Linked DNA regions of Oryctolagus cuniculus. The protein of the gene in region 2 interacts with the protein of the main gene of each other region in a pairwise test. Links are inferred from orthologs where the notes say so. Each region holds a gene or a part of one and is shown on either strand. Other genes may lie near its edges.

Region 1 (3,669 bases), on a different chromosome or scaffold from region 2:
GAGGAAGGTCCCACCCTGGTGCCGCTGACCGTGGGGACCACGCAGCCTGGGAATGGGACCGGGAACGTGTCCCACGTGTGCACGCTGGGGAAGAAACCAAAGTATAAAACCACACGGGGCCGGCGCTGTGGCGCAGTGGGTTAAGCTGTTGCCCATGATGCCAGCACCTCATGTGGGCGCCTGTTCAAGTCCCGGCTGGTCCACTTCCGATTCGGCTCCCTGGTAATGGCCTGGGAAAACAGCAGAGGATGGCCCAGGTGTTCGGGCCCCTGCACCCACGTGGGAGACGCTGAAGGAGCTCCTGGCTCCTGGCTTCAGCCTGGCCCAGCCCGGCTGTCAGGGGCATTTGGGGAGTGAGCCCGCAGATGGTCTCTGTTTCTCCTCTCTCTGTAACTCTGACTCTCAGATAAGTTCTTTTTAAAGAATTTCTGTCTGTCTCTCCCACTCTGTTGACTGCCCTTCAAATGAATGAATTCTGGAAACGCACACACACGTGACTTTAAAGAGAGGTCCTGAGGCCGCCCTTCCTCCCGGGCCACTTACCACTCGGGCGGGGGGCTGCTGGGCCCTGGGCCCCGGGGCTCAGCCTCGCAAGGCTGGAGGGGAGATCCTGCTGGATCCGGTCCAGCCGCAGCCTCTGCTGGGCCAAGTTCAGATGTTCCTGTGCCGTCCCCAGAGAGGCGAGTCAGCCGCGGGGGCGGGGGCGCGGGCTGAGCCAGGGCGGGGCGGGGGGGAGCAGGGGCTCGGGCTGAGCCAGGGCGGGGGGTGGGGGGGGAGCAGGGGCTCGGGCTGAGCCAGGGTGGGCGCGCCGGCAGGGGCGGTGGGGGGGGCAGGGGCGCGGGCTGAGCCGGGGTGAGGGCGCGGGTGCGGGCGGGGGCGGGCAGGGGCGCGGGCGCGCGGGTGGGGTGGGGGGACAGGGGCGCGGGCTGAGGCAGGGCGGCCTTGCCTGGTGCATGCGCTGTTCTTGCTGCCGCAACTGCTCCTGCTGCTGCTGCACCACCTGCAGCCGGGCCTGCTGCGCCGACTGCACCTGCCGGGCCTCGCGCAGCGCCCGCTCGCCCTCCTCATACTTGGCGGAGGCCACCTGCAGGAAGGCCGCTGGGTCAGGGCTGGCCGGGCGGGGTGACGGCCGGCCCGGCGCCCCGCGGCACACCTGGCTCATGCTCTCCACCTCCTCGGCGCGCAGGCGCAGGCGCAGGGCGGCGGCCTGGACCTTCTCCTTCTCCAGCTGCAGCTCCTGCCGCTCCCGCTCCACCGCTGCCCGCGCGGCCGCCAGCTGCTCCTCCTGGGCCCGCAGCTCACTGGCCTTGATCTTCAGCTCCGCCTGCTCCTAAAGATGGCAGAAGCTTTGCCGCATCTGCCTTCAGGGGCTGCACCAGGCCTGGGCGGGGCCCCGGGGCCTCCTTTGCCCGCCCTGCCTCTGCGAGGCGTGGTGGGGTCGGGGGCAGCTGTCTGACCGGGGCAGGCTCGGCTCTGAACGGCAGCTTCCTGAGGCCCAAGGCCTGCGTCTGCACAGGGGCCGGGTGTGGACCGTGCACAGCAAAGCGCCTCGCACTCGTGCTGCCTCCCCCCTGCAGGCTCCAGGCCCTACCTTGGCCAGGCTGAGGAGGCTGCCCTCCCGCTGGGTGTCGGCCTGCAGCGCCCGCTCCACCTCGCGCTCGGCTCGCTCCTTACTCAGCTTCTGCTGGGTGAAGAAGTCCGCCCACTCGGCCACCAGGCGCCGCTGCTCCTCAGCACACTTTCTCATGGCGGCTTTCTGCTCCTCCAGCAGGGCGGTCTGCGCGTGGGGCAGGGGCGTGAGCTGAGTGTCGCTGGGCGCTGGGGGTCAGGGCGGAGGGTGGGGCCGCGCTCACCTTGGCTCTGTCCAGCTCCCCCCTCTCCATGGCCATCTGCTGCACCATGACCTTCCTCTGCTCCTCCAGGGCGCGCTGCGTGGACTCCACCTTGGACTGCTCGGCGTTCACCCGCCACCGCTCCTGCAGGGCCCAGGCTAAGAGTGGCTCCCAGCCCCGGAGACAGGCCTGGCTGCTCTCCAGCACACCTCCTTCCCCAAGACAAAACGGGGGCTACCTGCCAGGACCCGGCTCCTGCGGGTGGGGCTGAGGAGGCGCCAGGGGGCGCCAGCCCAGCCCTCAGGTCTCCTAACCAGCGGCTCGGGAGGGCCACAGGACAGCAACCTCCTGTCCCCAAATCATTAGCTGCCACAGCGCTGTGCCTGCTGTCGCCCACAGCCAAGGCGGCCAGGAACACCAGAGGGCGCAGTGCTGTGCTGGGGACCTGGGGCCACGCAGCAGCAGGGCAGCAGCAGGACGGCGCCTGGCCTGAGGCCTGAGGCCGCAGCCAGCAGGTGCACATCGAAGCTGGTACGGCAGCTACCTGGTGCGCGGCGGGGCCCGCATTACGTCCAGTAGTGGCTTCTGTGGCTAGTGGTCGTTTTCATTTCTTACTATTTCCTGTATTTTGCTTTTTTAAATGAAATGTATCATAACCAAATACAAAGAAAGGAAGAGTATTTTTTTTTTTTTTTTGACAGGCAGAGTGGACAGTGAGAGAGAGAGACAGAGAGAAAGGTCTTCTTTTGCCGTTGGTTCACCCTCCAATGGCCGCCGCGGCCGGTGCGCTGCGGCCGGCGCACCGCGCTGATCCGATGGCAGGAGCCAGGAGCCAGGTGCTTTTCCTGGTCTCCCATGGGGTGCAGGGCCCAAGCACCTGGGCCATCCTCCACTGCACTCCCTGGCCACAGCAGAGGGCTGGCCTGGAAGAGGGGCAACCGGGACAGAATCCGGCGCCCCGACCGGGACTAGAACCCGGTGTGCCGGCGCCGCTAGGCGGAGGATTAGCCTAGTGAGCCGCGGCGCCGGCCCAGGAAGAGTATTATTTAAGGACAGATGAAGGCAGCAGGGAGTCCAGACTGGTGTTTGCTGGGCCAGGGCCACAGGTGCCAGCTTATGTGACGGGAGGTGCAGCTGACCGGGGCGCTGGGCAGCCTGAGCTGCATGGCCCAGGGCCTCGCGGTGGGGCCGTGGCCAGGCGGCTCCTGTGTGCTCAGCTGGGCGTGCCGAGACCATGCAGGGGCTGGGAAGATGCGGAGGCAGGAGGCGGCGGGATTCCGAGGCAACACTGGCCGTGGCCGTGGGATGGCTGCAGAGGTGTGAGGGGCCGGGCTCACCTGCTCCAGGAGCCGGCTCTGCTCGCTCAGGCGCGCCTCCATCTTCCCGATGACCTCCTGGAGCTGGCTGCGCTCCTCCTCCATGTCCCGCTGCTGCCGGCCCAGCTGCTCCTGCAGTGCTGGGGGCCCACAGGGTGCTCAGTGCCCCCCTCCCCCGACTCAGGACGCCCAGTTGCTGTGCCTGGAGGGCAGGTTACCTCGAAGCTGCTCGTCCCGCTGCCGGGCGCCCAGCTCCCGCTCCTGCGCGGCGGTGAGGTGCGAGGCCTCCACGCGGGAGGACAGCTCGCTCAGGCTGCTGGAGAACCTCTCCATCTGCTCGATGACGCCGTTCAGGGACCTGGGAGAGCAGCGGGTCACTGGGGGGGGCCTCAGCCCCGGCCCCGCGGGAGGTGGCTGCGGCGGCGCGCACCGTGTGTAGGAGGTGGCCCCGGCGGCACGCAGCGCGTGCGGGGGGTGGCCCCGGCGGCACGCACCGCGTGTGGGAGTTGGCCGCGGTGGCA
Region 2 (3,988 bases):
AGGCTGCCCAGGGCCCGGCAGGCCTGTGCCCCACCCCCTCCCCGGAAGGACACGCATCGAGAGTTCCAGACTTTTCTCTGATGCCTGCCCTCAGCCTCCACAAACCCTGATTCCTCTTCCAGCCGACCATCCACGCCTTGAACCTGAACCTGAACCCCAACCTTGGGGGCCTCCAGTTGTTCTGGATTGTTCCCTGGGAAGCAGATGGGCAGGGGACGAGTGTCCTGTCCCCAGGGGCCCGCCCTGGGTTTCTGGACAAAGAAAGGACTTGGGGACATCAGCTCGGGCTCTGCCACCTTCCCTGTCCCCTGGATTGATTGTTCCGGGTCCCGGGGGGGGGAGGGGGAGACCATGACCTTCACAGCCTGACCCCGGTGGCCCAGGCAACCGGTCCCCACCCATGAGGACACATGCACCCCAGGGCGACAAGTCACTCCAGGCCGGTTTATGACACGTGGCTGGGGGTGGAGCCTACAGCAAGGTCTCCCCAAGCTGGGGGGGAGGAGGCGGGCAGGGGCACCCGGGCTGTTCCAGCGCCCGGGCCGTGGCTTCCAGTGCTGCCAACTCCTCCGCCTGCCGGGCCTCCAGGATTGCCACCTGCTCCTCCAACTTGCGCCGCTGCTCCTCCTGCTTCCGGTGGGCGCCTCTGAACGCCAGGACCAGGGCACTGCAGGGTGTGGGTGGCTGAGCCGGGGAACAGCGCCCCACCCCAGAGAACAGCACCCCCACCCCACCCAGGGCTGCGGCGGGGGCGGGGCGGGGCGCCGCGGGGGCGGGGCTACGTCCTAGCTGGCTCCGGGCATCCTGCAGGAAAGGCGTGGCCTGCACTGCACCCGCTCACTATCTTCCAAGTGGGGGGAACGAGGCCCAGGGACACACCCGCGGTCAGCAGGGGTGGGCTGCGGGGGGCGGCGGCCCACCTGTGCGCCTTGCATAGATCGCTGTTCAGCTCGGCGCTCTGAGCCCGCCGGACGCGCCCCTTCTGAGCCACCTGCTCCAGCTCCCGCCACAGAGCCCGCAGCTGAGCGCGAAGATCCGCGGCCCTGGCGCGGGAGTGGAGACAGCGGGGCTCCGGCCGCGGCCCGACCCGGTCCTCCTCTCCGCTCCCCACGCCCCTGCGCGCAGGCGCACGCTGCCACACCACACACACACACACACACACACACACACACACACGTCCCCACCCCCGCCTCCTCCGCAGAACCCACCCAGGCACACACCTGGCGAGCGAAGCGGCCAGCTCCTGGGCTAACCTCTCCGGGTCCCACGCCCTGCCCACCTGGCCTCCCTCGGTGGCGTTGGGGACAGCAGGAGGACCCTGTAGGAGACAGAAGGGAGGGAGGTGACCTCTGTCTAGAAGTGCTCAGCCCAGCCTGGGCATAGAAGCTGGCCTGGGGGGGGGGCAGCCAGAGCCCCTCGCTTCCCAGAGCCCCCATTCTGCTAAGAGACCCTCAAGTCCCTGATAAGGGAGATAAGTCACAGGGCCGGGGTGGGGTGGGGTGCCGAATATTGCTCCTTTGAGGGCAACCCAGGAGGGCTTCCTGGAGACGGTGGACATTCCTGGTGGCAGCACCGGCTTGCAGGTGGGAGGGGTGATGCGAAGAGCCCCGTTTAGAAGCCTGGGGCAGGGGCGGTGTGGTGGCACCGCGGGGCGGGCTGCTGCCTGGGACAGCCGTGGCCGTATCAGAGTGTTGGTGGCGTCCCAGCTGATCTGCGTGCGCCCCAGCTCCCTGCGCATGCGCCCCCTGGGAGGCAGGGGCCCACGACTCCAGGGCTTGGGTCCTGCCGCCCACGTGGGAGACCCGGATGGAGCTCCCGGCTCCTGGCCCAGACCCGGCCTTTGCAGCCATGTGGGGAGTGAACCGGCAGATGGAAGACCTCTCTCCCTCTCTCTCTCTCATCCACTGAACCCCTAGGGGCCAAGGGCAGCGACCCCCGAAGGGCCGCTCACCTGGGGCCGCTCCTCCTCCTCCTCCTCGCTGCTGCCCGCCCCGCTGCTGTCCCCCGCGCCGCTGTGGGGCCCCGCGGCTCCCAGCTGCGCGCGCTCCCACTGTAGCTGCTCCAGCAGGAGTGCGTGGGCGGGGCCCTGGGCGCGCAGCGCCGCCTCCCGCAGCTCCAGGCCCCGCTTCTCCCGCCGCACCAGCTGCAGCTGCAACATCAGGTCCGCCAGGGTCTCCTGAGGGGTCGGGGAGGGGAAACTGAGGCTGGCGAGCACGTTTGGGAAAAACTGGATTGAGAGGTCTGTGAGTAACAAAACTCCTATTCATCCCTCAAAACCCCAGCTTCAATTCTCCCTCCAGGAAGCCCTTCCCAGCCCAGCAGAACCTTTCCCCCTCCCCATCCCAACCACACCTCTGTCGGTTCTGACCCCCCCCCCCCAGGGACCACAGCCCCTGTGTACCCGTGTGGCCACCAGTTCCCTCTGTATCTCCATCTTCTCCAACCGCGGCAGGGCCGGGCCGGGCTGGGCTTCCAGCATGGCCTGCACCATGGCTTCTGCGTGGGGCATGGTGGGCGTGGGCTCCACGGTGGGGCCCGGCTCTGGGGGGGTCTTCACCAGAGCCTGGCGCTGCCGCAGACGCCGGGCATAGCCCTGCAGCAGGGCGGCCACTTCCTGCGGTGTGGGTTTATCCACACTGCTGCCCTCGGGGCTGCGGGAGGAGAGGAGGAGTGGGTGCCGCAGGCCATCACGGAGGCCAGCCCCGGGGAGCCCCAAGGCCCAGCGCGGTCCCCGGGCGCCTACCTTGGCTGTGCCTTCCGCGGTGCCGCGGCGTCTGCGCCGCCCTCCTCCTGTGCCAGCAGCCGCCACGCCTCCCTCTCAGTGGCCTCCAAGTCCCGCGCTCCGGAGCTGGCCTCGTGCAGGGCCAGGAGAGCCGCGCACACGGCCTCACGGTGCTCACTGCGGGACGGGGGTCCTGAGCGCCCTCCCACGCCGTGGCTCGCGGCCCCTCCCCCGCGGGGACCTCTCCCCTGACCTGTCCTGCAGCGCCAGCCGCAGGGCTGTAGCCTCGGCTTCCCGCTGGCTCAGCCGCATGCTGAGGCTCTCACACCGGCCCTTGCGCCCTTGCAGCACGGCCAGTAGCAGCCGGTTGAAGCATTTGAGCTTCTCGATGTTTCTGTCTCGGGGTGGGGGAGGGAGAGGGAAAACGAGGGGACTCTTTGGAGGGGGGGAGCAGCCAGGGGCCAGTTTCCACCCCGCTCCTACCCCGTTTAGACGCCCATCCCCGGGGCTTAGACGCCCATCCCCGGGGCGGCAGGACAGCGGCCGGTGCCCTTAAAAGCTCAGCAGTGGTGGCGCTCACCCGCGGAGCTGTTCCATCTGGGCCTCCAGGATCTGCATCTCGGGGGCCAGGGGTCGCGAGGGGAGAGAGCCCAGGATGTGCACACTGGAGTCACTCCGGATGCGCCGGAGCAGCGGGTGAGCCAGGGAGAGGGAGTCCTGCAGGGAGGACGTGTGCCCTGAGCCAGCCAGATGGCCACCGAGAACCCAGGGCCATGCAACCCCCCAGAGCCAGGATCCGGGTCTCCCCTGCCTGGATGCTGCGGGTTGCGCCTCTCGCACTCACCTGACCCCCCCAGGGCTCCCCATCCGCCCCAGAACTGCTAGAACCACTCCCTGAGCCTCCAGCGTGGCTGTGGGTGCGCGGAGACAGGGGCTCCAGCCTCATCAGAGCATCCTGTAGCTCCTGGACCTGCGAGGGGTGAGGACAATGCCGGGTTGGCCGCGGGTGGGGGAGGGGAGGTTTCAGGCTTGGGGGCTCCACCCACGCACCAGCCATGCCCAAAGCCACTTCTGGGGTGGTGAGGAGAGCCCCAAATCTCCAGGGCCCCGCCCTCTCCTCTAAGGACACGGGCCAAGCGCCTGCCCCTGCGTTCTGGTCTTTATTCCGCTGTCGCCTTCACGGAGGCTGTGAGGGACCCGCGTCTGATGGGCGCCCTAGGCCAGGGCTCCCTAGAGGTTTGTCGAATGACTAACGGAGCGTGCGTC

What was found. The genes of interacting proteins can lie anywhere in the genome.
Region 1: the proteins of USHBP1 (region 2) and FBF1 interact in binary tests that used the Homo sapiens proteins (3 or more experiments, as listed by UniProt). The two-hybrid records come from large-scale screens. The link is inferred for Oryctolagus cuniculus from reciprocal best matches to the Homo sapiens genes USHBP1 and FBF1.

Annotation. Positions count from the first base shown.
Region 1 is NC_091448.1:4,749,266-4,752,934, reverse strand, and holds part of FBF1 (fas-binding factor 1), read right to left. Parts: coding exon 3,643-3,669; intron 3,507-3,642; coding exon 3,367-3,506; intron 3,289-3,366; coding exon 3,170-3,288; intron 1,977-3,169; coding exon 1,854-1,976; intron 1,778-1,853; coding exon 1,592-1,777; intron 1,331-1,591; coding exon 1,154-1,330; intron 1,085-1,153; coding exon 947-1,084; intron 662-946; coding exon 544-661; intron 231-543; coding exon of another isoform or gene 169-230; exon of another isoform or gene 1-168. UniProt on the Homo sapiens protein: Keratin-binding protein required for epithelial cell polarization. Involved in apical junction complex (AJC) assembly via its interaction with PARD3. Required for ciliogenesis.
Region 2 is NC_091447.1:65,254,568-65,258,555, forward strand, and holds the end of USHBP1 (harmonin-binding protein USHBP1), read right to left. Parts: intron 3,693-3,988; coding exon 3,567-3,692; intron 3,440-3,566; coding exon 3,303-3,439; intron 3,117-3,302; coding exon 2,976-3,116; intron 2,900-2,975; coding exon 2,744-2,899; intron 2,652-2,743; coding exon 2,402-2,651; intron 2,177-2,401; coding exon 1,952-2,176; intron 1,319-1,951; coding exon 1,221-1,318; intron 1,044-1,220; coding exon 921-1,043; intron 668-920; coding exon 472-667; 3' UTR 425-471; downstream 1-424.